3 linked regions of the Rattus norvegicus genome follow. Each later gene encodes a partner of the first gene's protein in a complex. Links are inferred from orthologs where the notes say so. Each region holds a gene or a part of one and is shown in the gene's direction. Other genes may lie near its edges.

Region 1 (9,945 bases):
CTCTTCTACCAAATGGCTTTCTTCATTTGTTTTGGTGTGTCAAGTAACCCAGGCTGGCCTGAACTGCTCCTCTGCCTCTTCATCGAGAACTACTTAGAAATAGTTCTTTGGGAGCAAGTCCAATCTTCGTTGTCAAGATATCAGCAGTCCAGTCCTCTAGTAAAACCCCAAATATGAATCAGCAGCTGTTGTCCAGTTCCCTCAGCAGACACCACACGTGAACCAGCAAGTTCGATTCAATCCAGAAGGAGCCGTAAGGCTCCCCAACCAGCCCGAGGCCACAGAAGCTGCAAGAAACCACAGGAACCTCCTGAGAGTCCTTTGAATTTCCTTGGCATCACCACAAGCAGAACTCAGCGACTATGTAAGGCAAACCAATACATGCCTGTTGTTAGCAAAGCCTAGTGAGGCAGAGCAAAGGAAACAACTGCCCCAGCTCAACTGTCTGTGGGGTCAGAATACATTCCTCTATGACGTGTCCTTTCACAGATTTACAATCCTGTATGACGTGTCGTTTCACGTGTCTGCTATAGCAAGACATCATCTGACATATCTGAAGATGTTTCCACTTCACTTGGGTGGAACTCAGAACTCCTGCCTGTCGGGCATACACTTTGTACTCCACAGTGTGTCTCTAGGAAGCTGATGCTGGCCTAAGCCACTATGTATGCTGGCCTTAAATCCGTTGAGACCTCTTGCCTCTGCCTCTCAGGGCAGATTAATTTAGTCTCTTTCTCTCTCTCTCTCTCTCTTTTTTTTAAAGATTTATTCACTTATTATATATAAGAACACTGTTGTTGTCTTCATGCACACCAGAAGAGGGCATCGGATCCCATTACAGATGGTTGTGAGCTACCATGTGGTTGCTGGGAATTGAACTCAGGACCTCTGGAAGAACAGCCAGTTCTCTTAACCACTGAGCCGTCTCTCCAGCCCTCTCTCTCTCTTTTTTAAATCTTTGACCCGGGGTTGGGGATTTAGCTCAGTGGTAGAGCGCTTGCCTAGGAAGCACAAGGCCCTGGGTTCGGTCCCCAGCTCCGAAAAAAAGAACCAAAAAATAAATAAATAAATAAAATAAATCTTTGACCCAATTGATAAGATATAATTGCCCACCTAAACATACAAAGCCAGTACCATCCATCCCTTAAGAACATTCGTAACAACCTGTAAAGGTGCAGCGTGGAGTCTTAACGTCACCCGCCATATTGTCCTGCCAGGGCTTCTCTCTCTCTTGTAGTTCAGGCCTTAAATTCACTCTGCAGTGTGGGATGATGTCACAGGTGAGGTAGGTACAAGATAGAAGGAGGCCTGTCATTGGACGAGAAGGAAGGATGGGCGGGAGAAAAGTTTGAAGGAAGAGGAGGAGACTGGAAGGGAAAGGAGGAAGAGTCAGGAGGGAGAGGGAGAGAAGCCTTGGCAAGACAATATGGCAGGTGACGTTAAGATTCCACACTGAACCTTTACAGGTTGTTACAAATGTTTTTCTTTTTTGGAGCTGGGGACCGAACCCAGGGCCTTGCGGTTGCTAGGCAAGCGCTCTACCACTGAGCCAAGTCCCCAACCCCACAAATGTTTTTAAAGGATGGATGTGTATTGCGCTTGGTAATTTTAGGTGGGCATTTATATCTTATCAGTTGGGCCAAAGGTTATTGTGTGTTCTTTCTTGTGTAGATTTAAGTGTAAGAAAGTGTGCGGCGGCTGGTCTGGGCCGCCACAGACTTGGGATGTGTGTTTCTGGCATGGAAACCTGCCTTGGGAACTAGATAGGTAGAGAGATTACTGCCAGGCTCAGAGAGAGGCCTTTGACAGTGTTATATGGGGTGGAGCAGAGCGGGTAAGACGCTTTGCTGACTGAAAGATATCCAGCAGCTATCTTGGGGCACTGTGGTGCTGGACCTAGAGCCTTTTATTTTTTATATTGTTACAACAACACTGCAGCCTGATAAAACCTGAGCTTCTGATCCTCCTGCCTGCGCTTTCTTCAGTGATAGGACGACAAGTTAACCTTTTCCCCAGCCTTTCTCATCTTGTCTATTTATCTTGTGTGATCGCAGTCTCCGATCCTCTTGCCTTGGCCTCCTTAGCCACCACACTGACATGCTCACCTGACTGAGACAGTGTCTCTCTGCTGAGCACTGTGCCCTGAAACTCCACATGGCAGCCAGACTGGGCCCTCAGCAGTCCTTTTGCCTGGCTAAAATGTCTAAAATACTACTTAAAATTTTTACTTTGGATATATTTATTTTCTCTTGTGTGTTTTGCCTGCATGTATATTCACATTCACCATTCGTTCCTCGTGGCTGTGGAAGCCAGAAAAGTGCTTGGATCCCCTGGAACTGCAGTTACACAGTTGTGCCTCCATTAGGATCTGAGAATTGACACTAGATCCTTGGGAATTGACACCCAGTGCCATCAGAGATTTTTTTTAAATTTTATTTATTTTATGTATATGAGAACACTGTAGCTGTCTTCAGACACACTAGAAGAAGGCATCAGATCTCATTACAGATGTTGTGAGCCACCATGTGGTTGCTGGGATTTGAACTCAGGACCTCTGGAAGAGCAGTCAGTGCTCTTAATCACCGAGCCATCTCTCCAGCCCTATTATATCTTTCTAGAAGGCAAAACAACCTAAACCATCTCTTTAAACTTTCTATCAACTACCCTAACATCTTAAAACTATTTAAGGGCTGGAGAGATGCCCATTAACATCGTAGTAGATACAGGAGACATATAGCAATGACAAACATGAGGCGGCACAGCAGCAGCGAGAGGTAATCTAGAGATGACCGCCTCAGGGGCTGTGCCTCTTCAGGAACACCCATCACAGCTGTCCAAAACGGTGGACCATCTCCAGGAAAACTCACTTGCCCCCCACAGTTCCTCCTACATGGTGTTCACCATCCAAGCCTTGTGTTGGTCTTTTCCGACAGCGTTTCACATAGCACAGGACGGCCGGTTAGACTGCTGGTCTGGTGTAACTGACTCTTGACACCAATTCCCAAGTCACCACTTCAGAAAAGGAGGAGCTGGATATACTTTACCCGGACCTTGCAGAAAAAGCTCCACGTGGAGCCCCGCCCTCCTCTAGCCACGCCCACTCCAACCCTGTCCACGCCCACTGCTGTTATTTAGCTGAGTGGGGAGGCTGGCTCGCGGTTTTCCCTTAGGGGCGTGGTTAGAACGTGTATGTGGGGAGCTTGCTCACCAATGAGGTTGCAAGGCACTGCAGAGGAAGGGGTGGGCCGCCAGGCATCAAAGGGCGGTGTCTGCTTTCTTATTGGGCGGTATATGGTTGTCAAGGAAACTGATGTGTGGGGTCGGGCTTTCTGGTGAGGCGGGGCTTCCGGGACGCCGAGGCTCTCCGTCAGCTGACCCACCGCCATCTTGGCCGCCATTTGCGGGTGGCCCTGAGCAGGGAAGGGTCTGCGGAAGCGGGGGCTAACTCGCTGCCCCTTCTCCTCAGACTGGTCTCCGGCCACAGCCGTCGCTCTGGCCTCCACGTCGTCCTCTCCGCGGCGGCCGGAAACGCAGCGGGGCGGTCGCCTGAGGTGCGGTCGCCGGGTCCCCGCACCTCCCAGGGCCGCGGCGGCGGCGTTCCCCTCGGAGGCCACAGCCCACGGGCCGCCGCGATGGCCCTCAAGATGGTCAAGGGCAGTATCGACCGCATGTTCGACAAGAACCTGCAGGATCTGGTCCGCGGCATCCGCAACCACAAGGAGGACGAGGTGAGCCGGCGCGGAGTGGGGTTGCCCGGCTTTTCCCCACAGCCTATAGCCTCTGGCCCGCCTTGGAGCAGCCTCCTCGACCCCATCGCCATTCCGGCCCTGCCTGTTTAGGAGCTGCGGCTCTGCACAACCTCTCCTTCCCCTGGCCTCTGTTTACCCCCACCAGCTTGAAATGGATGCTGTCCAAAACGGCTCAGGTGCCTCGTCTGTTATAACTAGGGTCCACTCCCGGAGCCTCCCAAATGTCCACTTGGAGCAGTCGCTGTCATAAGACCTAAGCGTCTTAGGCCTTACAGTTGGGTGCACTGCTTGAGCCTGAGTTTACCTTCTTGGAGAAGATTTACTTAGGCAAAGGTTCTCCCACTTGGGCTTGTTTCTGGATCACATATGGAGGAATCGGGACCCTCACAGAAAAATCAAGTCATAGGTCTACGTGTCTCCCATGGAGAAATTCCCTTGTCCGGGGACATAGGTCCAGGTTGCTGTCTTGGGCTTACTTGGGAACTTGCCAGGTGTCCCTGCCTCAGATCCCCTGAACTATCAGTGTTTGCAGGACCTAGGGGCGTGTTGGAATGGAGAAGCCTGACTTTAAAACTGGAAGCTCAAAAAAGGCAAAAGTCAGGGTGTGGAAGCAATTTTTTTTCCAGAAGTTAGGCTGTGACCACGAGCATTACTTCCTTTCCTCCCCACAGTCTGTGACCTAGATTAAGGAAGAAGTGATAGAGTGGCTGCCCAGTGCCTGGCTCAGTGGAAAGACAGGCTTCCTCCGGGGCAGGAAGGCCATGCTGAAAGAGGGTGTCCGTGACAGGTACCTGCTGGCCCCTGCTTGCTATGTGAGGTCAGGAAGCAGGCCCCTGGCTGGGACAGTCAGCCCTCTGTAGCCCTCTCCCTTCTACCCTACCTGGTCTGGTTTGTACCCTCCCTGCTCTCCCTGGCTGTTACTTCAGGTGAAATAGCTGGTTGGCCAGTGTGTGGTTGGCCTGTGCATGGACTGCCCTATGTGAAATTTCCTTTGTACTCTTCTGTGGCCCTCTGTGCTCTCGAGGGCCTCCAGGTTTCCCTCTTGTCAGTGTCCCCAGGGAGCTGTCTTGGGACCCTGAGACCGGTCACATTCTAATTTGAGTACCTGAAACAAGCTCTAGCCAGGGACATAGCCTGGGCTGGCTGGAAGCTCATGATACTCCTGCCTTGTCCTTCTTCCTGCCGGGATTACTGATTTTGAGGTGTGTGTGTTTTGCTCTTCATATTCCCTACCCTGCCATACATGCAAGGCTCAGTAGTGCAGACTAGGTGGGCACAGAAAGCCCTCCAGGCCCTCAGGTTCTATGTGGCTTCTGCTGCTGGGTGCTAAGATTTTGGTTGTGAGTCTACCTTTAACAGCTGAACCATCTCTCCCAACCAACATGGCTGGCCAGTCTGAGGTTGCTTGGGTCCTCTGTCCCTCCTCAGGGACCATCTTTAAGTTCCTGTGCGTGTTATCCGGCTCATTGCGGACTGCAGGTACTCTCCTTTGGAGGTGCTGATGTAGTGCATTGCCTTCTGGCCAAGCTTGTAGCACAAGTCATGCAGTGACCATTCTCTGCTCTACACTCTGGTTGACATAGGTCTCACTGTATAACCCTGGCGGTTATAACTCTTCTGCCTTACAAGTACTTAAAATGCTGGTATGTGCACTTGGAAGTTTTGTGGGGTTTTAGTTTTGTTTTGAGGTGATCTTTTTTGTTTTTTGTTTTTTGTTTTTTTTTAACCAAGACAGGGTTTCTCTGTGTAGCCCTGGCTATCCTGGAACTCACTCTGTAGACCAGGCTGGCTTTGAATTCACAGAGATCTGCCTGCCTCTAGAGTGCTGGCATCAAAGGCATATGCCACCATGCCCAGCTTGAGATGATTTTTTTTAATATTTATTTATTTTATGTATGTGAATCCACTGTCACTGTCTCAGACACCAGAAGAGGGCATCACTGCATCCCATTACAGATGGCTGTGAGCCACTGTGTGGTTGCTGGGAATTGAACTCAGGACCTCAGGAGAGAAGACAGTGCTTTTTTTTTTTTTTTTTTTAAATATTTATTTTATTTATTATATATGAGTACACTGTAGCTGTCTTCAGATACACCAGATCTCTTTACAGATGGTTGTGAGCCACCATGTGGTTGCTGGGAATTGAACTCATGACCTCTGGAAGAGCAGTCGGGTGCTCTTAACCGCTGAGCCATCTCTCCAGCCCGAAGACAGTGCTCTTAACCACTGATCCATCTCTGTAGCCTGAGATGATCTTTGTATTTAAAAAAAAAAAATTATTGCCAGGTGTGGTGGCGATAGCTATGGATGGAGAGCCTCAAGTGGATGCAGGGAATTAAACCCGGGTCCCCTAGAAGAGCAGCAAGTCCTTGTCTGCTCTATCTCTGCAGCCCTTTCGAGATGGTTGTACTCTAACTTCGGGGGGGGGGGGCAACAACTCACTCTAGATTAGGCTGGTCTTGAACTCACACTCACCTGTCTCTACTTCCCCAATGCTGGATTGTTGGTGTACAGTAACATGCCCAATGAATTTTTTGTCTTACTAATGTATCCGTGTGTGTGTGTGTGTGTGTGTGTCTGTGTGTCTGTGTGTGTCTGTGTGTCTATTTTAATACTTATTTATTTATCTTATGTATGTGAGTACACTGTTTGTTGCTCTCTTTGGACACACCGGAAAATGGCATCCCATTACAGATGGTTGTGAGCCACCATGTGGTTGCTGGGATTTGAACTCAGGATCTCTGGAAGAACAGTCAGTGCTCTTAACCACTGAGCCATCTCTCCAGCCGGGTAATATACATATATATATATATATATATATATATATGTATATATATATATATATAATTTTTTTTCTTTCCCTTTTGTGTATATGTGTATCTGTCTGTCTTGTGTAGAGGCATCTGCAGAACCAGATGAGGTCTTTGGATCTCCTGGAGCTGGAGTTAGAGGTGTTGTGAACCACTGGACATGGGTGCTGTGAACCCAATTTAGGTCCTCTGCAAGAGCAGCAAGCGCTGTTAACTGCTGTACCATCGCTCTGTCTTGTCCCACCAAAGTATCCTTCCCACTCCCCTTCCCCCGCTCCAAAGCCACAGCTTCCATGAGTGTTTACGTAGCAGGCATGAGACCCCATGTCTGTTAGGTACCTTGCAGAAAGCTAAAGACTGAAAGCAAAACACTGTATCTGTGCTGCAGGGGGCACCCCTAGTGCCTCTGCCCTCTGCCAGGTCTTCAGGAACCTGATTGTGTTTACCCAGGCATCTTGACCTGTAGGGTATCCTGGCAGCAGCTCCTGTGTGGTGTGATCAGCCCAGCCTAGTTGTTCCTGAAACTCTGCCGTGGATTTTAAAATCATGAGGATTTTAGCTGATTCCCTTTGATGGGTAGCTCCAAGGGTCAGATGGAGACTACTTGTTCCAGTGGCAGTGTCTGTAAGAGGTAGGAGTTAGAGATTCCCAGGGGACACTCCTTTCCCATGTTGGTACTTCTCTACTGCCTGGCTCGTTGACGTTTCTAGGGACTTTCAACCAGAAATGGCATCTCATTAAGAACTGATGGTAACATCCCAGGTGGGTCTGTCAGACTTGTATTTACCCTTGCTCAGGAAGGAGGTAGACTGACTCCACTCATCTGTGACTTGTGTGCCAGAGACCACCATTGTGTGCTAGCCAGGGACCATGCTTCATTCAGCCTCATAGCCTGGGCTTGCTGGACTTGCTACCACCAGATCTATCTTGCTTCTGTCTAGTCACCAACGAGATTTTCCCAGTTAAAGCTCAGGCATATGCAGCTCTGTCTCAGGGTGAGCGGCAGGTCTCCTTTCTGGGTTGGACTCCTGCTTGTGAAGTACTAGCCAGGCTCTTTGAGAGGCTGGGAGCTCCCAGCTGTCCCTGGGGCTTGGGACCTGAGGCGACCTAACCCGTACCCCAGGCTGCTTGTGTCCTTTGCCATGACCATTCTTTGCCCTGCTTATCCTGTGCTCAGCACAAATGACTTGTGCTCTCTTATTTTTTTTTTTTTTTTTTTTTTGGTTCTTTTTTTCGGAGCTGGGGACCGAACCCAGGGCCTTGCGCTTCCTAGGTAAGCGCTCTACCACTGAGCTAAATCCCCAGCCCCTGTTATTTTTTATTTTAATTTTTTGCTTTTAGACAGTCATGCTGTGTTGCCCAGGTTGGCCTTTTTGTACTGGCTGGTCTGTACCAATTTTAGGTATATTCTTTGCCCCTGAGCCACCTCCTACCCTCACCCCCTCATTGGGGGGTTCTGGGCAGGGGCTGCACCCCTGAGTCCCACTCCAACCCTCTTTTTACTTTTCACTTTGAGGGTTAGGCAAAGTTGCTCAGGCTGGCCTTTGAACTCAAGATCCTCCTGCCTCAACTTCTTAGATCCTGTTCTCTCTGCTCTACTTACTTGCCTATGCAGAGGCTTCAGCTCCTTTTTCTATTGGGTGTTAGTCTCCCTGTCCTGCTCTCTGAGTCCAGACTGGGACTGGCTCCATTTAGTCTCCAGAATTCCCCGCATTTTCCAGGTTCCCCAGACATCCACATTGACTTACCTGTCTTTAGCTTCTTCTGGTTTCTCTGCTACAGCCATACGATCCCCAGCCCCTGGCTCATTCTTGCTTTGACTTTGGGTGATGTGAAGTGACTTTTGTTCACCAGAGGTACCCATGTGCTAATTGTGAGACCTGTGGACTTGTGTCCTTAAGTGGCAGAAGGGACTATGCAGACGGGGGTCACACTGAGGACCCTGAGCTGGGCAGCCATCGTCTGGATCACCTGGACCCATTCTCACCATCAGGTCCTCTAGGGAAGCTGGAAGGGGAAGAGGTGGAGCCAGGGAGACTGCTGCTGTGTGTCTAGGGGAAGAAGGAGCCAGGAACTAAGGATGAGGCTTCTGGATGTTGGGGCAAGCAGGATGGGGTGCTCCCTGGAACCTCAGGACACTAGCCTTGTCACAATTAGACTGTAGCCCAGTGAGGCTCATAAGGCCCCCGCCCTGTGGGGATATGTGCACATGGGCCAGTTCCTGTGTGTCTCTTTACCTGCCACCAATGTGTGCCTGTCTCCCAGAATGTGAGCCCCTGCTTGCCAGCCCTCCTGCCACACCTGCTCACAGGCGTGCTGGTTCCGTCCTCATCCATGCAGGCACTTGAGGTCTTTTCATGTCTTATAACACCCTTGCCAGGTTCACCTAGAGACCCAGGATTTTTGCCCTCAATCGGGAAGTACCAGCTGGGCCATTTGGGTTACTACTTGGCTTCTCCATGTCTGGCTACTGCCTTCTTATCAGCCAGATAAAACAGCCATCTTTCACAAAGCCAGCTGGCATGAGGCTCAAGCTCGTAAGAAGGCCTAGGCAGAATGTTCCACATTAAAGCCAGCTTAAAACTACACAGTGGCAGCCATGTTTGGAAAGGCCAAGGTCTGAGGTGTAGCACAGTCATGAGCAGGCACTGGGCTGTCCAGGGGCTGCCTTGGGCTCCTGAGGAAGTGTGTCTGCCCTGGGTTTTTTGTTGTGTTTTTCCTTTTTCTTCCACTATCTTCTTCCAAGGGATCAAACACAGGGGGTCAGGATTGTTTTTCATTACTTTTAGAGACAGGAACTCAGACTATATAGCCTAGGCTGGCCTTGAACTCAGAGACATCCTCCATGTCTGCCTTTTTTTTTTTTTTTTTTTTTTTTTTCATGTCTGCCTTTTAAGTACTGGAATGAAAGGGATGAACCTGGAACCACAGGAGAGATCAACCCTGCTTCCAAGACAGAGTTCTAGCTCTGTGAGGATGGCCTCAGTGGAAGGAGCATATCATATCATATCATATCTTTTTCTTTTTTTTTAATTGTCTTGGAGTCTGGAGAGATGGCTTATCAGTTAACATTTCTTTCTGCTCTTCTAAAAGACCTGGGTTTGAGTCCTATGACCTAACTCATAACAATCTGTAACTCTGTATATGTCGTGTGTGTGTGTGTGTGTGTGTGTCTGTCTGTCTGTCTGTGTGTGTCTGTATGTCTGTCTGTCTCTCTGTCTGTCCATGTAGAAATCAAAAGACAGCTTGCAGAGTTGGTTCTCAGGAGCATCTTTTTTGTTGTTGTTTTGTATTTGAGATAGGATATCACTATACAGCTTTAGAAATTGCTTTGTGAATCAAGTTGGCCTCAAACTAACTTGGGTTAAAAACAAGTGCTACCATAC
Region 2 (10,100 bases), on another chromosome or scaffold:
TACAGATTCTGTGTCACCTTCCCAGTGCAGCCTTCGAGTAGAAGTCCACCACTACACTTGGCATTTTTATGTTTTCTGGGCATAGAACCCAGATCCCCTGCTTACGGGGAAATGTTTTACCAACTGATCCATCCTTCCCTATACCCTCTGAACAATCTTTAATGCCAGAATCGTGGTAACTGGCTTTTAGGAGTCAATCTTTCCTAATACCAAGTCCACGGCTTACGAATATTTACGCTAATGATTAAGTAGAGCTGTGTGTACAGTAGGTAAGACGGAACTTGTAATTGGAGGGCACAGAATCGGAAAGCTAAGAAGAAATCTCGGCCAACGTAAAGTCTGAACTTAGACAAAAGGAGGTTAGTAGTGCCACTAACTGATACAGGGGCCGTGGGAGAAGGCCAAGATGTAGGACAAGAGATGGATTTGCCTGCATAGATGTAATCTTAAAGATCAGCAAGTCACTTAGAGAAATTCAACAGTCAGAACTAGCTTCTGAGGACTGTATGTAATAGCAGCCTGTAAACCCCAGCACTGGTGAGGTGAAATGGGGGAGGACAGGACAGAAGTTGTGAGCCATCTCTGGTTCCAAACGGAGCTCAAGGCCAGCCTGGGGTACATGAAACTGTGAGACCTGTGAGACAGATAGGGGTCTCACATATGAAAATGCCCAAATTGAAGCCTAGACACTTACTACCTTCTGCTCCAGTCAGGCCGGGTCATCTCGTCTCCCATCCCCAACGGAAGCCCTGCCTTCCGAATTTCCCTGTAAAGGCACATGCCTTGCTTCCCACCTGGTTAACCTCTAGTCAGCTGAATAATGCTCAGGTCTCATCTTTCACAAGTTCCACTTTGTTAGAAGGAGACTAGCACCTGGATCTTACCTTTTCCTTTCTCTCCATCCCCAGTTCCTAGCACTACGCTTAAAATAGCACATACTTGACAGACAGAAAGAACAAACTGGGCATGCGTTCAACACTACTTGGAAGGTACTGTGTCTTCTTAGAGGTGACCGCTGAAGCAGTGAGCTTGGATAGGATTCCAAAGGAGAGAAAAGAAACTTGAGTAGTCCTTGTGTAAATGTCTGATACTCAGTTTCTTTCTCCTCAAAGTCCAACTGAAAACATGTTACAATCTGACTCTTTGAAACCTTAGCAACAGTAAAGAATAAGGCAGAAATCTTGTCAGATCCCCCCACCAAGCAGTTTTTCACTCTTAACAATACTGACAATCTCCAGCATAGAGGGATGTCTTCTGTACTGTTAAGATGCCCAGAAGCACCTTTATACATTAGTGGGAGCAACATGATAGGGGAACAAAACAAGGAAATCTCGATAGCTGTCAGATATGATTTACAAAGGGACCGGAGCCTGCCTCTGCCTCCAGACTGCTGGGATTAAAGACATGGGCCACCAAGGCAGCTTGTTGCTTGTTTTAAATTACATTTAGTTGTTTGTACCGAGTGCAAATGGCCTGTCTTAGTTAGGGTTTCATTGCTGTGAAGAGACACCGTGTCTATGGCAACTCTTACAAAGGGAAACATTTAATTGGGCCTGGCTTTTGGAGGTTTAGTTCATTATCATCATGGTGGAAAGCATGGTGGCCGGCAGACTGGAATGGTGCTGGAGAAGGAGCTGAGAGTTCTAGTCTTCATCCATAAGTGACAGGAGAATACTACGGCACTATGCCTAGTTTGAGCATATAAGTCCTGAAAGCCCGCCCCAAATAGTGACACATTTCCTGCAACAAAGCCACACCCACTCCAACAAAGTCATACCTCCTAACAGCACCACTCATTATGGGCCATTCCTATTCAAGCCACCACATGGGTCCTGGCTCTGGATTGACCCAGCTCATTAGGTTCTCGGCAGCAAGCACTCTTCCTCTCTGAGCCATCTCACTAGCTCTCTGGCAGCATCTTTAAACTTTACTCAATGTTCCTTCTAAGATAAAATTCCCTCTAGTTAAGAATCACTTCCTAGGCTGGAAGGATGGATGGCTCAATGGTTAAGAGCAAACTGCTCTTCCAGAAGAGCTGAATTTGGTTCCCAGCACCCACATCAGATGGCTCTCGGCTCTCTTTAAGTCTAGATCCAGGGCATCCAAAGCCCTCTTCTGGCACACAAGTGATGCACATTCACACAAACACACACACACATAAATAGAAAGAACTATTTCCCTAAAGATAACTGACAACTCCCAAATTCCTAAATTCTCTTCCAAACCTCTATAAATACTTTTATTAATTGACTTGTCCTCCACGGAATCTATAATTAAACTGCACTCACAATTTATAAGCTGTTAAACAAAATGTATTAACAGTTAAACAAAATTGGTAGAAATCTCTTAACTGCCAGGAAAATCATAAGAGTAATCCAGTCCAAATGCACTCTCATTCAGCTATCCTTCATGAAAGGTAAACTAATAAAAGGAGGAACAGTCGACTCAAAGTTCTCTGCATAGCATTAAAGAGCTGTGTCCCCATAGTCAAAACGACTAATCTTTGAACTTCGCCTCTGCAGAAAGCAGTAGGTTAGCATTCTGGGAAGTGAACTTTATTTGACTAAATTATTTACAATTTTAAATAGACAGATATGTGGCTGTTCCATTTTTGGTAAAATTGAGATAATTATAGAAATGTTCTTACCAGGTTGTTATGGCATTGAGTTAAAATATGTAGAATGAGACTGGCATATACATATCTAAGTAGTAAACATTACCATGGATCATTTAAAGAGAAACCAAAGCATGTCTTGGATGTTGTGCAAACACACTAGAACAAAATAATAAGCCTGAACCTCATGCCCTGAGTTCAAATTTTCCTTCCTTAAATGTTTTATTTGAGCTTCCGCACCTATAAAATTTGATTAATCCCTGCCTTTCTTTCATAGAGGCTTTTATACCATTACTTCAGATGGTAAGCACTGTTAAAAGGGATCATATACAAACTCTTACTTTTATTAAAAGAAAAATCTAAGGAGACAGTATCTGTTTTATTTAGTGGGGAGGGGCCAGAGAGCAACAGAAGAATAGGTTCACTCCGTCCACCATGTGGGTCCTGGAGTCTGACTGAACTCAGGTCATCCAACTGGGCAGCAAATGCCTTTATCTGCTGAGCCATCCCACCGGCCCAGATAATCTAAAATTTAAAATAAAACATCCTCAGTTGGTTTTGTTTCTCATGTTTTACGTTTGTAGTATTAGACATGCACAATGACCTAAGAATAATAGGCATACAGTAAAGCCACTAAAAGGGATTTGGTCATCACCATTCCAACCAAGAACATGATTTGGGACCCCCAACTAACCTTTTCTTTTCAGTTGTGAATAAATGTTGTGAATAAACTCTCTTTTTGAACATGATAAAGAGATGTTGAAATAAATGGAATTTGTTTTGTATAATCAGTAAGAGCCCCCACGGTTTTAAATCAGTTTGATGCGTCTATTTTTAGTAGCAAAATCACTGCCTTCCAATGAACACTTCAAAGTCATCAGACACTGAACGCGCCGGACTTTATACTTATTAGGAAGAAATTTCTTTTTAACAAACGGCTTTTTATAAGTGAAAGTCGCAACACCAATTACATGTGCGTCAGGTATTGGGAGAGCTCTCCATTCCTATCAAATATGCAAAGGGAAAAAAAAGAAAAACAAACAAGAACTTTTCTAACCAATTAGCCAAATGCTACCCTAGCAAAGCCTCTGAGGTGAATTGGGGGTCCCTGGGGCGAGGGGGTCTCCAAAGATAATTTCAGAGAGCTGACAGAAAAGGTCAAAACGCTCTGCAACGCCTACTGAAAAAATTCCAAGAATGTTATCTTTTACCAGGGTCCAGGAGGCGCCGGGCGCCTTCCCGCTAAATACCCTAGGAAAGGATGCAGCTCCAAATAGGTCCTTTAGGGTCGCGCTAGCGCGGCCCGCGAAGGCTCGCACGTGGCGCCAGAGGAAGACTCAGCCCCCGGACCAGGTGCTCTGATTGGTCAATGGCTGCCAGGGCCGAGTATGCACCTGAGCAGAGTCCAGAACCAGAGGGCACTGAGGGGAACAGCAGCCACGCGGGCAACTCCCCGAGCTGCAGGTCCTGCGGGTTGGCCCCACGAACGCAGTCACCATCCGGCTGCGCCAGCCCACGTGGGCCTTGGCTCGCTGCAAGTGCCTTCTCCCTCCTCCCCCACGCAGGGTTGCTCTCACCTCAGCGCTTCTGGCGCTTCCACCTTGAGCTTCTTGGGCTTCGGCTCGTCCGCAGCTGCCATCTTCGCACTCTCACCGCGGTTTGGCTCTGCCGCGCGTCCCGCCCCTCAGCCCGGTGGCCCCGCCCCTCTGCTCGTCCCCGCCCCCTTTCCACTAAGCCCCGCCTCCCTGAACTCCGCCCAATCCGTGACTCTGGTCTGTCACCATTGGCTCTACGCGCGTCTGAAGTCCCGTCCCTCCAGGACCTCATTTACTACGGTAAGGGACCCAAAACGCAGTTAGGCTGCGGGTGAGCGCCTGCGCTCAGGGAGTGCCAATCTCCCTGTTCCTCCAGACCCTGAGTAATGTGGAAGATTCAGAGCCTCAACCTCCGGAGACACCGTGCCTCTCGCTGAACGCCTTTCCGCTCGTTGTTTCTTTCTAGTCCCGCTGACCTCCTCGGCGCCTCGGAGGCTGCTAGTCAGGCAGTGTGTTGGGCACTCCAAGCGCGGGGTCCTCGCGGCTTTCTCTGCTGCTTCAGCTTCGGTTCAGAGAGGACCCGGCACCGAATCACTGACTCGCCCAGGTGTCGGGGTGAGTGTGAGGGCGGGGAGTCTCCGGGTTGGAGACATCTCAAAAGCCGGGGAACAGACTGCATAGCTCCGGCTCGGGACTCTCTCTGGGGCTCCAGGAGTGTCCCTGCTGCTGTGCACCAGGGCCGCGCCTTCCCCCTCACACCCGGGCTTCCTAGTCAGCTGGGCCGGAAGGGAGCGGTGCACCTGCCACGTAGGGTTCTCGGACCCTGGACTCCAGGCGCGAGAAATGACATCTACAGTGAGGTGGGGTACCGACGACTTGAACTTGTCAGCCCCCAGGTTTGGCCGTGGAGGGCAAATCCCCCGATGACGCTAAGAGAACGCTTTCTTTATAGGGTGGTGCCTGGACGAGCTAGCCTGGGATGGGGAGACTGTGAGAAGGGTGTAGCAGCTTCTCACGAGACAGGTGACAGGGCTGTAAACGGAAAAGGCGGCTTGGAGTATGGAAGCGTGATGAGTGGATGAGTGGATGTCATGGATTTGTTTAGTACTGAAGCTTTAACTTCCTGGTTGAGAAGTCGGGTCACTCGAAAAGCTTTTTTTTTTTTTTTTCAGCATTTATTTGAGATTTTGGCTTGGAAATACATTACACAGAAGAAAGGAATTTTCTGCAAGCAAATATATAAATCTCCTTCCTTTGTATTGAAAAAAGAAAATGTGCCCCCTTTGTTTTTAGAGAGGACAGGACCTTTACCTTCCCACTGCTATTACCTTCTGTTTCTCAGTGCCTTCTGTCTTTTAAACTTTATTTTTGCATTTACTTGTTTGTTGTATTGTGTGGCATGCCACAAAACACATGTAGTAGAAGTTAGAGGACAACTCCTGGGCTACAATTCTCTCCTTCCACTATGAGGATCTTAGGGATCAAACTCAGGTCCTTAGGCTTGATAGCAGACACTTTTTTTTTTTTTTTTTTTTTTGATGAGCCATTTCAGCCTCCTTTTCCTACTTGCTGCTTCTAGCTAAGAACCATACTGCAATGTCGTTGCCAACATCCTACTGAGTTATCACCAAAATTACTTTAGCCAAGATCGCCGATGTCCATTTGACATCCAATACGACAACCATATATTCTTGGTATGGATTTCAAAAAAAAAAAAAAAACAAGTCTTGGAGCTGGAGAGATGGCTTGCCAGTTAAGAGCACTAGGTGCACTTTTGGAGGACCCAGGTTCAAGTCCCAGCCCTCACTCAGTGACTAACAACTGTCTGTAGTTCCAATGCCACGGGGATCCTACTTCCTCTTCTGGCTTTTCTGGGCACTGCGCACACAATGCACAGATAGACATGCAGATAGAGCACCCTTACAAATAAAATAAAAACTTTAAAAAAAAAAAAACCTACTTGCGAAGCAACAAAAGTTAAACCCTTCTTTAATGCCTAAGTCATAGATGTACTTTAAATAGGCATATGTTACTTTTTTTTTTTCTAATTTGTGTGACCTCGGGTGGGAGATGATGGGGTAGAGATGGCTTAGTAGCTAAGAGCACTTGCTGTCCTTACAGAGAACCCAAGTTCAGGTCCCATTACCCACATTGGGTGGCTCTTAACAGCCTATAACTCCAGGGAATGTGGTGTACTCTTCTGGCCTCTGCAGGTCCCTGCACGCACATGGCATATACTCACAGAAGTACATACAAAACTACATCCAGAAAGTATTGGGTTCTGACCTGCCTGAGGTGGGTGCTGGGAACTGAACTCTGTTCCTCTGCTGAAGCAGTGCATGGTTTTAATCCCACCCCCTGTATCTCCAGCTTCAGGAGATCCACCAGCCACTCCTGGCCTTCACGGGTCTGCACTTTAAACATTCACAAACCCACAGCAAATACACATAATACACATTTAAATTATAGGAAAAAAGACTTATCAAACAATCTGTAGGGAACAATATGACTGGCCGAGGGGGGAAAGACTGGAAATTTAAAAGATCACTGGTAGCCAGAAATCATGGCATATACCTTTAATCCCAGCACTTGAGTGGCAGAAGCAAGCAAACTCGTGAGTTGGAGGCCAGCCTGGTCGTCAGAATGATTTCCAGGACAGCCAAGGTTACACAGAGAAACTCTGTCTTGGAAAAAAAAAATAAAAGAAAGGAAAATTGTAAAACCTTTTTTGAGACTTATTTTTATTATTTTTTGTATTATTTGGGGTTTATTTGTATTATTGTATGTGTTTGTATGTGAGTGTGTATACATGACTGCCGTGCCTATGGAAACAAAGGGCAGTAGATCCCTGGAGCTAGAGTTATGATCTGCCTGATGTAGGTGCTATGATTGAATCTGGGTTGGTTGGGTTCGGGGAAGGGGGGAGTTGTCTGGGAGGGGGGGTGTTTTGTTTGGTGTTTTTGTTGTTGTTTGGTTTTTCAAAACAAGGTTTCTCTGTGTGACCACTCTGGCTGTCCTGGAATTTGCTTTGTAAACCAAGCTGGCCTGGAACTCACAGATATCCCCCTGCCTCTTCCCTTGAAGCTTCAACACCAAGCCCAGCAGAATCTGGGTCTTCTGTAGGAGCATGTTTAACATGCTCTTAACCAGTGAGCCATCTCCAATCTGGAAAAAAAAAACAAAAAATAAAACAGAACACTTGTGTTCATCTTTTTAAATCCTCACAGCTTGACTTCTTTGTAGCATTCTTGTAGAAAGATACTAAAAATCTCCCACGTCCTTCCCCATCTTAAAAACCCTGCTTCACTTCCATCTTAGGGTCTGTCTGTCTGTCTAGTTCCACTTCCTTGACGCATCTGCTCCGCAAATACTGGCTTTTCTTTCATAAATGTTTCTTGCTGTGTTCATAATCTCTTTGAATGTAATTCTTTATAATTCCCATTAACAACATACCACTAGACCTGAATACAGTGATTGAATTTGAGTCATATGTATTAGGAATTGAGTCAAATTATGTATGTATGTCAAACTGTTTCAGCTTTCATCTTATTTCTGTGCACACACAGACTTAAATACATTATTTCTCAAAGCCTGTCTAAATCTCATTGTCCATTTTACTCCATTCTCTTGTTAACCTTCAGTCCAGGCTCCAAAGAGGGCAGTGCCTGAAAAGGCCAGAAGAGGGCGTCAAGCTTTGTCCTAACCTGCCAAGCCATCTCTCCAGCTCTGATCCATCACTCGCCTCTTAACTGGTGTCACATACTTTGGTGCAGTCTTATCCAGTTTCCATAGTGTAATTAGTATAATCTCTCTAAAAATGTAAATCGGATTTACATATTTTCCCTCAAAATAATAAAACATTAAGTTACCTGTGATTACAGAGAACAATAAATAAGGCAGGCCTTGCCCCATGACCAGTGACTGTTGTCATTTCGTTACCTTTCTTCCAGCATTTCTTCAACCTTAAGAGTTGTAAAATTTGTTTTTGATTTCTTTCATGTTTTCTTTTTGTATCTGTAAACCTTGATGATTCCAGTAGTTCTCTCTCTTTCTCCTGTCATAGGAATTGCTTCTTACTGTATTTGTATTTGCAACTAGATAAAAGCATAGAAATGTTTAATTCATCATCATATCCCCAAATATCTAATATATAAAATATATAGAACAATTCATTGAATGGGGAAAAAAATGATTGATTTTGGTTGAGAATCAGAGGAGCAAAATTCTTCTTGGGGTATCGTTTCATATTTGTATGTGTGTTGAGTGACAGTGTGTGTGTGCGCGCGCGCGCGTGCGCGCGCACGTGTTGGTGCATGAAACTGCAGAGGTCCCCATTTGTGTGTGGATCAGAGTTTTAAGTTGGGTGACTTCCTCTGTGGTTCTTCATCTTGTTTCCTGAGGCAGTCTCACTGAACCTGAGGCTCACCGACTAGCTAGAATAGCTAGCCAGAAAGCCTGTCACCACTCCCCAGTGTCCCACCCCTACTCCACCATTAGAGTTACAGAAAGGAACCACCACCTCCTGTTTTGCTAAGGTGCTGGGGATCCAGGTCCTCACACTTACACGGCAGGCTCTTTACTGACCTGATCATCTCCCCATCTCCCATTCTCTCACTGTATAGATCAGCCGTTCTGACCAAGCCAGCAGGCTCTCCAGGGCAGCAGTGAGGATTAGAAAGAAAAAAAGACCATCAGACAACATTTAACATGACTCCAGCCAGTTTTGAGGCTGAAGCATGTGTTTTATTTTCCTATCTGCTTTTATACCACTTTATTTACATGCAGAATAAGATCAGTTCTGGGTCAAGGAACAAGCAAGGCTCCTGTAAACACCTTGCTAGGAGGTGTTTAGTCTAGTTTAGTATAGCGGCTAGTCAGGATGACGAAGACTAAAGGACTGTCACACATGCTTCTGCTGAGCCTGCTGTGAGAATGCTCTTGCATTAACTCAATCTACCCCATCCTGTGCCTCCTTTATGCTCTGTGCTGAAGGAAACTTGGGTGTGGTGAATGACTGTAGTCCCTGTTACTTAAGATGCTGTGGTAAGGGATAGCCTAAGGCCATGAATTTAGCAATGTAAGACTATCTAAAAAGAAAAAGACATACTTGACTTCCAAGGATATTTTGACTATTGTAATTGTCAGGAAGAATTCACACATAAAGAGGATCCATGAAGCAATTACACTACAATCAAAACTCGGATCGGTGTGATTTGCAATTCGGAAATTACACACACACACCCCACACAGTTTGTGGTGGTTGTCCCTGTGTAGTTTTCTAAGAGAATTCAATAAAGTAAGGAACAACATAACTGCAGCTATCAAAAGCATAAGTGGCTAAAGAAATAGGATAATTTATTCTGCTTCATGGGGCGTTGCTTCTTATATACATTAGGCAGTTGGTCATAATATGGATAATATTATTGGAGGTTAAACTAGGTTTTAAAGCCAAGTGCTGTTGAGTGCTGGAAGTGTTATGCTCTCATCTCAGCACAAAGGATAGCAACAGTAAATCCACTGACTGGTTTGACTACACAGCATTCTGAAACGTGAACGACTGCCAATAAAAACAACTTTGGTGGAAACTTTCCTGGAAAGACTTTTTCACCGGCTTAAGAAAGTGAGTGGAAATCTAGCTCTAAAATAAAGAAACCAGTCAAAACAAGCAACTGTCTTAGAGAGGGTTGTGATAATGGAGTGCCACTGCATTCCAGGGGCCTAGTGTTTTGAGATAACCTGTGTCAATTCTTTTTTTTTTTTCTACCCTAATCAATTAAACTTTCTCATCATAAAAACAAGAGCATGTTTTGGTTTCTATGCGGAGCATACCCTCCAACTCTCCTCATAAATCAAGCCAGAACAGCACATTGACTATAATATCTATCGATAGTGATATCATGACCAGATGTCAGTATGATAAATGCCATGGCCAAAAGCAACTTTTGAAGAAA
Region 3 (10,175 bases), on another chromosome or scaffold:
TTATAACTTATGCAAAATGAAGTTTAAATGCTTTATCTGTAGTTTGCTTGCAAATGAAGAAGATGAGTAATCCACTTAAAATAAGCACTTTTCAAGTTTGCATAATTAATAAAAGATAAATTCACATTGTTTTGTAATTGAGTTGCTCTTAATCTGTCACATTTATGGTCACCATTTAGTTCTGTTTCCCCCAGAAACTGTGTACAATCAGGAGCATCGTCATTTGGTCTCAAAATTTTCCTACATGGACAGTGATTTTTATTACGTCCCTATAAATCGAGCAGTAAACAACACTGACTATATATATATATATATATATATATATATATATATATATACATACACACACACACACATATATTATACTAGTACACTGTAGCTGTTTTCAGGCACACCAGAAGAGGGCATCAGATCTCATTACAGATGGTTGTGAGCCACCACGTGGTTGCTGGGATTTGAACTCAGGACCTCTGGAAGAGCAGTCAGTGCTCTTAACCATCGAGCCATCTCTCCAGCCCAACACTGACATTTTAATACTGAGCAAGCATTAAACAATTCTTAAGATTTGATTATTTTTGCCGAACAGGTTAGCAAACAAGTTTTGCAACAGTCATCACTGGAAAGGGTTAAATCAAAGGACCACTGGTCCACTGTGGTCCTCTGCCTTCAGTTAGACGTTTGGTGATGTTTGTTAGATAACATTTTTGTTCTTAAAGCCTGCTCTAGCTATGTTGCCCAGGCTGGTCCCAAACTTCTGAGCTCATGTGATTCTCTCATGTTAGCCTCTGAGTAGATGGGACTACTAGTGTGCCTGGCCTCTAGCAAAATTTTAAGTGTGTATGTAATTCAATCTAGTTATTGGTGTTCTGAGACTGTAATTATGGAAATTCTGACACCAGGATGCGGACACATGCGTTCAAAAGGTTGTTATAATATTTTAAAATTTGGAAGAACACATATGTGTACAGCAGTAGGTTGCTGACTAGATAAAAAAGCCTCATCTAGGGGTTGGGGATTTAGCTCAGTGGTAGAGCACTTGCCTAGCAAGTGCAAGGCCCTGGGTTTGGTCCTCAGCTCCAAAAAAAAAAAAAAAAAAAAAAAAAAAAAAAAAAAAAAGCCTCATCTATTAATAAAGAGAACTAAGGCTAGACAGAATGTAAAATGGAGTAGGATTATTACAGTGGGAAAGAGCGAGCTAACCCAGGGATGCATTTCGAATATACCAGGGATAATTGGTGGTGATTCATAAGTGTTTGGAGAAGGAGGTCAGGTCTAGGAATAGAAGTCTAGCTGGAGAACGGAATTCCTGCTGATGGCAGACAGATGACCACCACACCAAGGGAGGGAGGGATCAACTTTGATTAGATATGGAGGGTGGAATATTCTTGCTAAAAATAACTTTACAAAGAACTGAGATAGATGTAGGTCCAGCAGAAGTCAGAAGGCTGCAAAGTTTGGTCAAGAAAAGAATCTTTTTCATTAACAAAATAAAATAATATGTCGATATTTAAAGCAAGGTAACTCTGTGTGGCATATGAGAGACAAAGGGGATGGATAAAGAGACCTAAGAGAATACAAAGAGGAAAAAAATAAGGTATAGGGCTGGAGAGGTGACTCTGATTAGGAGCACTAGGTGCCCTTCCAGAGGCCCCCGGTTCTGTTCCCAGCAGCTACATGGTAGCTCACAACTGTCTGTAGCTCCAGTTCCAGGAGATCTGACACCCTCAGACATACACAGATGCAGGTAGAGCACTATGCCCATAAAGTAGCTAAACAAATCTTTAAAAAGACATAAGATGACATTGATTTTAATTTGCATTAGGAGAAACACACACACATATTGTGCTTGGAGAACAAGTTCAATACATACAAACGTTTTTCTTTTTTTGATACAGGGTCTTGATATGTAGTTCCAGCTGTCCTTGCATGCACTGTTATATAACACAGACCTTGAACTCACAGAGATCTGCCTGCCTCTGCCTCCCAAGTGCTGGGAGTAAAGGTGTGGGCCACCAAGCCCAGCATCCAAATTTATCATATATTAGCATGATGGTTTAGATGAAAAAAAATGGAAATCAGAATATTACATGAAGGTTTTGGTGAGTATTGCAGAAAAATCATGGAAAAATAACCTTGTATTTTTGAAAAAAGTATTTATTTCAACACACACACACACACACACACACACACAATGTACATGAGGGTAGGAAAGAAATCTGGCTTAGGTTTGGTAATAGATTTGATTCTTTGGTTCTTTCTCAAGTGTTTCTTCTGGACAGTTAGCATTTATAATTTTTTATTAGAAAGCTTTAGGGCTATATAAAAGTTTTAAATTCTGGAGGAGTGGAAGATTAGACTTCTGCATAGGGAGTTAAAATTTTACTCTTTCTGTACAGATAGACAATCTTATAATTAGGGAGGTCTAGGTCTCTCCTTGTCCACTTCCTCATGTTTTCAGAATGTGCTGGCTGGTTTTATGTCAGCTTGACACAAGCTCGGGCCACTGGAGAGGAGGGAACCTCAATTGGAGACATGTCTCATGTTGTGGTGACTGCCCCTCCCCCCATCAAATCATTTTTGTTGCTACTTCCTGAATTTTGTTACTGTTATGAATCGTAATGTAAATTTCTGATAAGCAACACCTGAAGGGATTGTGATCCACAGGTGGAGAACAGCTGCTGTATGGGGCATTTTCTTTCTTTTTTTTTTTTTCTCTTTTCTTTTTTTTTCGGAGCTGGGGACCGAACCCAGGGCCTTGCGCTTGCTAGGCAAGCACTCTACCACTGAGCTAAATCCCCAACCCCTGGGCATTTTCTTACTTAGTGATTGATGTGGGCCTACCCCACCATGGATGGTGCCATCCCTGGCTGGTGGTCTTGGGTTCCATTAGAAAGCCGACAGCGGGGGCTGGAGAGATGGCTCAGTGGTTAAGAGCACTGACTACTCTTTCAAAGGTCCTGAGTTCAAATCCCAGCAACCACATGGTGGCTCACAACCAACTGTAATGGAATCTGATGCTCTCTTCTGGGGTGTGTCTGAAGACAGCTACAGTGTACTCATAAATAATAAATAAATTAATTAAAAAAAAAAAGCAAGCAGACAGCGCAAGCAATGGAGCAAGCCAGTAAGCAGCACCCATTCACTGCCATGCATCAGCTCCTGCTTCCAGGATCCTGTGAGTTCCTGTCCTGACTTCCTTTAATGATGGACAGCATGAGGAAGTGTAAGCCAAATAAATAAACCCTTCCCTCCCCAACTTGCTTTGGTCATGGTGTTTCATTACAGCAACAGAAACAGAGAAGGAGAATTTTATGTTTTTCCAAAGGACATAGGCTTTATATCTTTATAAAATATTCCAGGAAGGAGGAAAAAAATAAATTACCCAATACTGTTTCTTTTTCTTGAGAAACATAACAGCTTTGACAGCCCGTCCCATTCCAAGGACAAGCTAAACAGAATAAAGCAAGACTTCCCCCACAACTTTCCAAAGCACAGGTCAACTGTTTACACGAGTCTGTATGAAAACGAAACAAAACAACAACCAGTGAAAATCCAGCAGCTTGTTAAAGAAAGAGAGACTTGAGAATGAGTCCTTTTCAAGTGGGGTGTGCTGGTGCACCGCAGACTTGGCAGCTTAAGGCAGGAGGATTGCAGGTTCCAGGCCAGGCAGGGCTACAGAGTGAGACCCTGTCTCTAAAAACATAATAAACCTTTTTCATAAGAAAATGAACTATTCGAGATAAATTGGATTAACAGGTTTGTGTGCAATTCTAAGACAATAAAAAGCACCTGGGGAGGGGGAAACACATGAAAGATAACCATATTCATTATCGACATGAACATATAAATTAATTATAATACAAGTATCTATATGACATTTATGACAAAATTATGAGAATGTGAGGAAATCCCTCTCATTCATAAATGTTAGGAAAGCAATTTAGAATATCTAATAAAGGTGTATATATTCTAAAATTAAAAAATTATATACTCAGGTCTATTTTGTAGTGAGGATGTGTACAGCATTGCCATTACTTGACAGATAAAGTAAGCAAGTCCTAGTGTCTTTCCGTAGTAAACGAATTAATTCATGCACACCACTTAGAATAGTGTATGGGGTATAAGTTAAGCATCATATAACATCATATAACACCTCATCACCGTCGATCAGTCGTAGGAGAGATTCCACCAATATCATCTATACCGGGAAGCAATGTATTTGAGATGCTCTAACACACATGTTATCTGGACAGGTTCATTGAAAGGTTAACTAACTGCCAACATTTGATCAGTTTGGAGGCTCCTCTCCCTCCTGGCACTAGGGAGGATCATGTTTTCAGAAAGACGACGCGATATTTCAGTCAGGTAGAGAAATATTGGTGGGACCCGGGTTGGTGTTTGCCGGGTGCTACCATTGGGTTTTGGTGATTGTCTGTCGGGCTCCAGGTATTCAGTCCTTTCTGGACCGTAGGTGTAGGGAATGAGGAACGAAGGAACCATAGTCACCAGGGAGGCCGGCTGGTGAGGCTCCTCTTAGAAAGCTGCCCGGGGCAGGAGGGCTGCAGCTACCGCGACCACAAACCATCCCACCTAGCTGCTTAGGGGATGTTGGAAAGTTATTTGCCAAAGAGTGGGAGCAGGTGGCTCCCAGAGGCGAGCGCACTCCGGCACCTCGCCGAGGCGCTCGGGGCAGCTGACTGCGGGCAGGACGCACGCCTAGAACTCCAAGTGAGAACCTCAAGCCCCAGGAATACTTAGCCAAAGCTTGCCCGTGGATGATCGCCTCGGTGCAGAGCCTGCAAGCCTTCCCGGGAGGAGGAGCTTTCAAGTCTAGAACGTCAGTGGTCTGGCCACGCTGGCTAAGAGAGGGGCGGGAACCTGCCCTAAAGGTTGAGAACTCGTGACCACCGAAGCTAAATTCGTCTGGCGTGTGCTCGGTGTTTCAGGAGGATTCCGGGAGCGATCAGCGGACAACAGAAGTGAAGCAAAGAACCTTGAAGGGTCTGAGATCTCCTCCAGCAAAACGCATCCAAGGGCCTCAAATCCAGTACTTTACTTGCCCACTACCCTCCGGCAAACTCGGTGCAAAAACCACAGCTTCCTGTTAAGGGTCTCGGGTGCAGCTTCCCGGCGGCCTCTAACACCCGGAGCGCGAGAATCCAGCGCTCCCGGAGCGGCAGGCGCCGGCCCGCGCGGACTCAGTGCGCACGCGCAGGGGGTGGGCCGCCCGGCCGGCTGGAGCGGTGACGAGCCCGGAAGCGCCGGCGCGCGCCCCCTCCGCACCAGAACTAGTTTTGTTCGGTGTCCTCGGAACGCCAGCCACCCGGAGAGAACCCCGCAAGCTCCCGCCCGCACCCGCCCGCTGGCCGGCACCGCCGCAATGTCTAGCAACAGTTTCGCCTACAACGAGCAGTCCGGAGGAGGGGAGGCGGCGGAGCTGGGGCAGGAGGCCACCTCGACCATCTCTTCCTCGGGCGCCTTCGGCCTCTTCAGCAGCGATTGGAAGAAGTGAGGACCCGGGCTCGGGGTGCGGGAGCGCTGCGGGGACGCTAGGCGGCCACCCGGCTGCTCTCGGTTCCGGAGGAACCTCCCTGCGGTCCCCGCTGCAGTGGGTGGGTGGGTGGGGTAGCCCCGCCGGCTGCGGGGCTTGTTCGGAACGTCTGGGGACGCCAAAGGCGACGCCGGTGGTTTTCAAACTTTGGTGGGGGAAAGGAAAACCGGTTGTTGAGCTGAGGTTCCACTTCCCAAACCGTTGACAGAGTTGATCTGGGCTGAGCACAGGAGCTTGAATTTTGAACTAGTGAATCAAACTAGTGGACAGGATCAGACCTCGAGAAAGTCATTTATTTAAAGGTGACGAGAGTATTTGGGGAAGGGGGTTGAGAGTGGGCCTGCTGCTTATTTGGACCCTGCAATATAAGGACTAAGAGGTGGGGTTCTCTATGAATGACAGCTTTGTTTTTTTAAAACCCTTTGGCGTTTTCTTACACCGTGATCTTTGCACCAGAGTACTCTTTCCCCCGCCCTCTAAGGCATTGAGATAATATTTAAATAGAGTGTTGCTGTGAACCAAACCTAATTCTAGTTATTTACAAATAGTATGAATTTTAAAAATAATCACTAACCACTTTTGTAAACAGTTACTTAGGGTTCACAGCAAATACCGCCCAGAATTGAAAACATCCTTAGCGGATTCAGTTTTAGTTTAGTTTTTTTGTGGGGTGGGGTGGGGTGGGCTTTGCTTTGTCGTGGTTCCTCCCCACCCCTTGCTTTCTGACAGGGTCTCACTATGTAACCTTGGCTGATCTGGAACTCACTAGGTAGAGCAGGCTGGCCTGAAAAATCAGAGAAATCCTCCTGTCTCTGCTACCCCAGTGCACAAACCACCATGCCATTTTATGTTTTTCTTATTTTTGATCTCTTATTGTTACATAGTGCAGGAAAACATAATAAACCGTCACTTAAGGTAAGGAAACTGGACTGATAGTCTTGTGGGTGTTAAGGGGTATAATTAAAATAAGAATTTGTGGATTAGACAGCTCAGGCTGGTCCCCAACTGGAACTTGCCATTCTCCTGTGTCTGCCTCCCAGGTGCTAATAGTTGAAATTGAGGTGAAAATTCGACTCTATTGACTAACATCTTGCATAAAGCATATAAATTATTTGTGTTCATTATTTCCAGGATATGAATGTTTAAAACATGATTGCTGTAAATCTGTCTTTGTGTGCATTTGTGTGACTGACTGATCCAACAAGGCGTTTATTATAACTACATTTCCCTCAGTAGAAGGTTTCAGTAGTTGAATTTGCATGTGACTTGTGTACACTTAGTCTACTTTTCTAATCTCTAAGCATCTAAGGTGTTTTTTCTTTCCGGCTATGTAAAATTTGGGAAGAATGCATGCCTCACAGCTGAAGTTAGGGTTGAAGTAAAATGAGCGAACCTTGAGTGCTTGTGCATGGACACTCATAATTAACATCTTCAGTGTGTTTCTGCATGCCGGGGCCTTGCCTAGGCCAGTGCTCTGCCACCAAGCTACATCCCTAGTCCTCAGTCTTTAGTGGGCTGTTCCTAGTACTTCCATGATTCCACTTTAAGGGTGAGGAAACGGGAGTCTAGTTGGTTAATTTGCCCAAGGTCACGAAGCTGTCAAATTTGAACCTAGACATTATAATCTCAGTTCTTTCTTTTTTTTTTTTTTTTTTTTCAGTTCTTTCTTTAATGTGTTTGCGTATGCTATTAACTCCTTGAAATCAATGCTATTTTTTCTTTTCTTTTCTTTTTTTTTCCGGAGCTGGGGACCGAACCCAGGGCCTTGTGCTTGCTAGGCAAGCGCTCTACCACTGAGCTAAATCCCCAACCCTGTTGTTTTTTTTTTTTTTTTTTTTTTTTTTTTTTAATTAGGGAATGCATACAGCTCACCAAAAGTTTAAAGTTTTGCATAGTAGCCATAGATCCTATATGACTTCTGGCTTTCAGGAACTGAAACATTTTGGCTACTGAGCTGCAGTTTAATGGAGTCAGTCGTGTAGAAAGCAACAGACTCCTATTCTGGAAGTGGCCACCTAGTCTCTCCTGAGCTCTCATTAAAAACATTTGTCTTTCAAAATAGGATCTCACTATGTAGCTCAGGCTGGCCTCAAACTTGTAATCCTTCTGCCTTAGATTCTTGAATGCTTGGATTTCTGGGTGTGACCTATCACACCTGGACATTTTGCTCCACTTTTTAATGGATTACTTTGTAATAGCTTCTTTTCCTTTTGTCTTTGACTTTAAAATCATTTCAGTTTTTATGCCCCCAGCATTTGTCAGGAGAACCACTCTATGTAAAGTCACTGGTTATCATTTTAGATTTTACTTTTTCACTTGCGTTGGTGTGTGGGTTTGTGTGGTACCCTCGGAGGCCAGAAGAAGGCCTGGAACTGGTGTTAACAGGCATACGGTGCTGGAACTGAAACTGGGGTCTTCTGAAGATCAGTGTGGACTCTCAGCCGCTGAGCTCTCTCTCCAGTCTGGAGCCACAGTCAAAACAGTCACTGTGCTCCCCTGCCCCTCCTGTCTCCTTCCCTCTTCTCTCTGCCTTACCCCTTTCCTTTCACATTCACACACACACTTCTCTACACACATGTCACATGCATTGTTGTCTTCTGAACCGTGGAGATTATGTTTAGATCGTGCCCTTTACCCTTAAAACCTTAGTATCTGTTTTTGGTAATAAAAACAGTCCCTTAAGTCGTCAGATATGATCAAGGAGTTAACACTGGTACAGGAGATATCGTGCTAGTCAACAGGCCTTTGCTGGAGTCCCATCATCTTTGGGTTTGAGTTTCCGACACTGATTTGAGCACAGTGTCGTAATGTGTCATCTGTTGTGCCTAGAGACACAAGGTACCCAATCTTCCTAAGTTTCCCAGTTAAGGGCTTTTCTGGTAGCTTGATTTCTATTTTTACCCCCTTCCCCAATCTGGGTTTCTTGGGAGATAGCTCGAGACCATTTGGCTAGCTTTTACATTAAAGTCTTCAGCAGCCAGCCATGAAGTTTTTGTTATAGAGATGGGCCTCTGTGTGTGTGCAGGTAAGTGTAGGTGATTAAGGAGGGCAGCAGAGGGCAGCAGATGCCCTAGGGTTGGAGTAGGCGTGGCTGTGATGTGGATTGGTAGCCTAAGATACAGTCTCCTGAACCTGCCTGCTGCTGTGGCTGAGTGGGGTGCCCTGCTCCCTGTGTCCTCTGCCGTGCACTCTCTCGTTGTGTGTTCTTTAGTACTTCACTGACTGTTCCAAATACGTCTAATCTCTTCCTGATCAGTCACTGATTTTTGTTCTCAGACTCTATTTGAAATTTTGTAACCCTTCTCATCCTTCAAACAAAACCAGAACGGGAAGCTTACATTGCCTATGAATGCATATCCCCCTCAGCATATAGCTTTTGTGAATCATCCCAGTGCATTACTTTACTGGCCTTACAATGTTCTTCACTTTTAAATGTAAAGAGCTAACTTCTGCCCCCTGGCCCCCGCCGCTTTATTTTGGAATAGTCTATATTTCCATTGCTTTTAGTTATCACCTAAGTCATTTGTCTTTATTTTTCAAAAAAAAAAAAGAAAAAAGAAAAAAAAAAGAAAAAGAACCTTCCTTACCTTAGTCCATTTGGGTGTATATATAAAGAAATAATTTCAATTTCTTCTGGCTTACCATCTAATTGCAAAGTAGTTTCTAGATGAAGGGTAAGACTAGTCAATTTTCTGATTTTCTTCTGAATTTCTAAGTGTCTTTTTATGTATCTCATTAAAAAAATTAGAGCAATCATTTAAAACAATTTTATTGCCACGCAGTAATTTTATATATGTGTGTGTGTATATGTATATACATATATATATACACATATACATATACATATATATATTTATGGTGTTCATGGTGGCATTTCAACATGTGTATACATTACAAACTGATCAAACCAGGGTAAATTAGCAATTCTGTCTCCTTATTTTTTTTGTGTACAGCCTTTGGCTCCTTTCTTGTTTCTCACAACTGTGAAGTAGTTCATTGAGGATTATAACTGGCTTACTGTACTATGGCAGTGTCTTAGTTACTGTTCTGTTGCTGTAAGGAGACACCATGACCAAGGCAACTTTTGTAAAAGAAAGCGTTTAACTGGGAGTTTGCTTCAGTTTCAGAGTGTTAGTCCATGATCATCCTGGTATACACAGGCCTGACACTGGAGCAGTCATTGAGAACATCCCATCCTGATCTGCAGGTAGCAGGCAGAGGGAGCAAGACTGGTCCTGGTGTGGGCTTTTGAAACCCTAGAGCCAGTCCCAGAAGCATATCTTCTCCAGCAAAACCACACCTTCTCTAACAAGCACACACCCGATCCTTCCCAAACAGTTTCACGAAGTGGGACCAAGCATTGCACATACGAGCCTATGGGAGCCATTCTCATTCAGACCATCACAGGGGACTAGAACTCCTTTCATCTAACTAGTTTGGTAGTCATCCAGCTCCTCTCTTTTCCCCTCTCAGTTCAACAGAAACATACGAGTGATTGCAAATGTGTGATGCTGGTTATGCTGGAGCACAGGGTTTCCCAAGTCTCCCCTTCCTAGAGAGCATTGTGCTATTAGAGAGTCACAGGAGGCAGAAGGTTTAAGTTAATGCTTTCCAGTGATAGCAG

The links.
Region 2: the proteins of Ap3d1 (region 1) and Ap3m1 are in contact, whole or in part, in a cryo-EM structure (PDB 9C5C), measured with the Homo sapiens proteins. The link is inferred for Rattus norvegicus from reciprocal best matches to the Homo sapiens genes AP3D1 and AP3M1. Residues at the interface, in NP_003929.4 of Homo sapiens: Lys29, Glu388, Gly389, Thr390, Thr391, Arg393, Glu429, Arg432; in NP_001307192.1 of Homo sapiens: Ser25, Ser27, Asp30, Tyr31, Glu34, Pro52, Asp104.
Region 3: the proteins of Ap3d1 (region 1) and Ap3b1 are in contact, whole or in part, in a cryo-EM structure (PDB 9C5C), measured with the Homo sapiens proteins. The link is inferred for Rattus norvegicus from reciprocal best matches to the Homo sapiens genes AP3D1 and AP3B1. Residues at the interface, in NP_003929.4 of Homo sapiens: Lys352, Leu442, Ile446, Ser471, Tyr483, Trp487, Glu491, His517, Ala520, Val521, Gln524, Asn525, Lys528, Val561, Gln562, Ser563, Ala564, Leu566, Glu567, Gln569, Glu570, Arg571, Ser573, Cys574, Gln577, Leu578, His581, Ile582, Leu585, Lys588; in NP_003655.3 of Homo sapiens: Asn75, Lys466, Lys467, Gln470, Val494, Ala497, Ser498, Trp501, Leu531, Leu534, Gln535, Asn538, Lys542, Asn567, Tyr568, Asp569, Asp572, Arg573, Arg575, Phe576, Ile577, Gln579, Leu580, Lys586, Gly588, Ala589, Leu590, Ser591, Tyr593, Lys596.

The regions. Positions count from the first base shown.
Region 1 is NC_086025.1:9,617,599-9,627,543, forward strand, and holds the start of Ap3d1 (AP-3 complex subunit delta-1), read left to right. Parts: upstream 1-3,396; 5' UTR 3,397-3,632; coding exon 3,633-3,728; intron 3,729-9,945. UniProt on the Homo sapiens protein: Part of the AP-3 complex, an adaptor-related complex which is not clathrin-associated. The complex is associated with the Golgi region as well as more peripheral structures.
Region 2 is NC_086033.1:3,291,481-3,301,580, forward strand, and holds the start of Ap3m1 (AP-3 complex subunit mu-1), read left to right. Parts: upstream 1-4,737; 5' UTR 4,738-4,764; exon of another isoform or gene 4,765-5,009; intron 5,010-10,100. UniProt on the Homo sapiens protein: Part of the AP-3 complex, an adaptor-related complex which is not clathrin-associated. The complex is associated with the Golgi region as well as more peripheral structures.
Region 3 is NC_086020.1:27,329,650-27,339,824, forward strand, and holds the start of Ap3b1 (AP-3 complex subunit beta-1), read left to right. Parts: upstream 1-5,308; 5' UTR 5,309-5,380; coding exon of another isoform or gene 5,381-5,508; intron 5,509-10,175. UniProt on the Homo sapiens protein: Subunit of non-clathrin- and clathrin-associated adaptor protein complex 3 (AP-3) that plays a role in protein sorting in the late-Golgi/trans-Golgi network (TGN) and/or endosomes.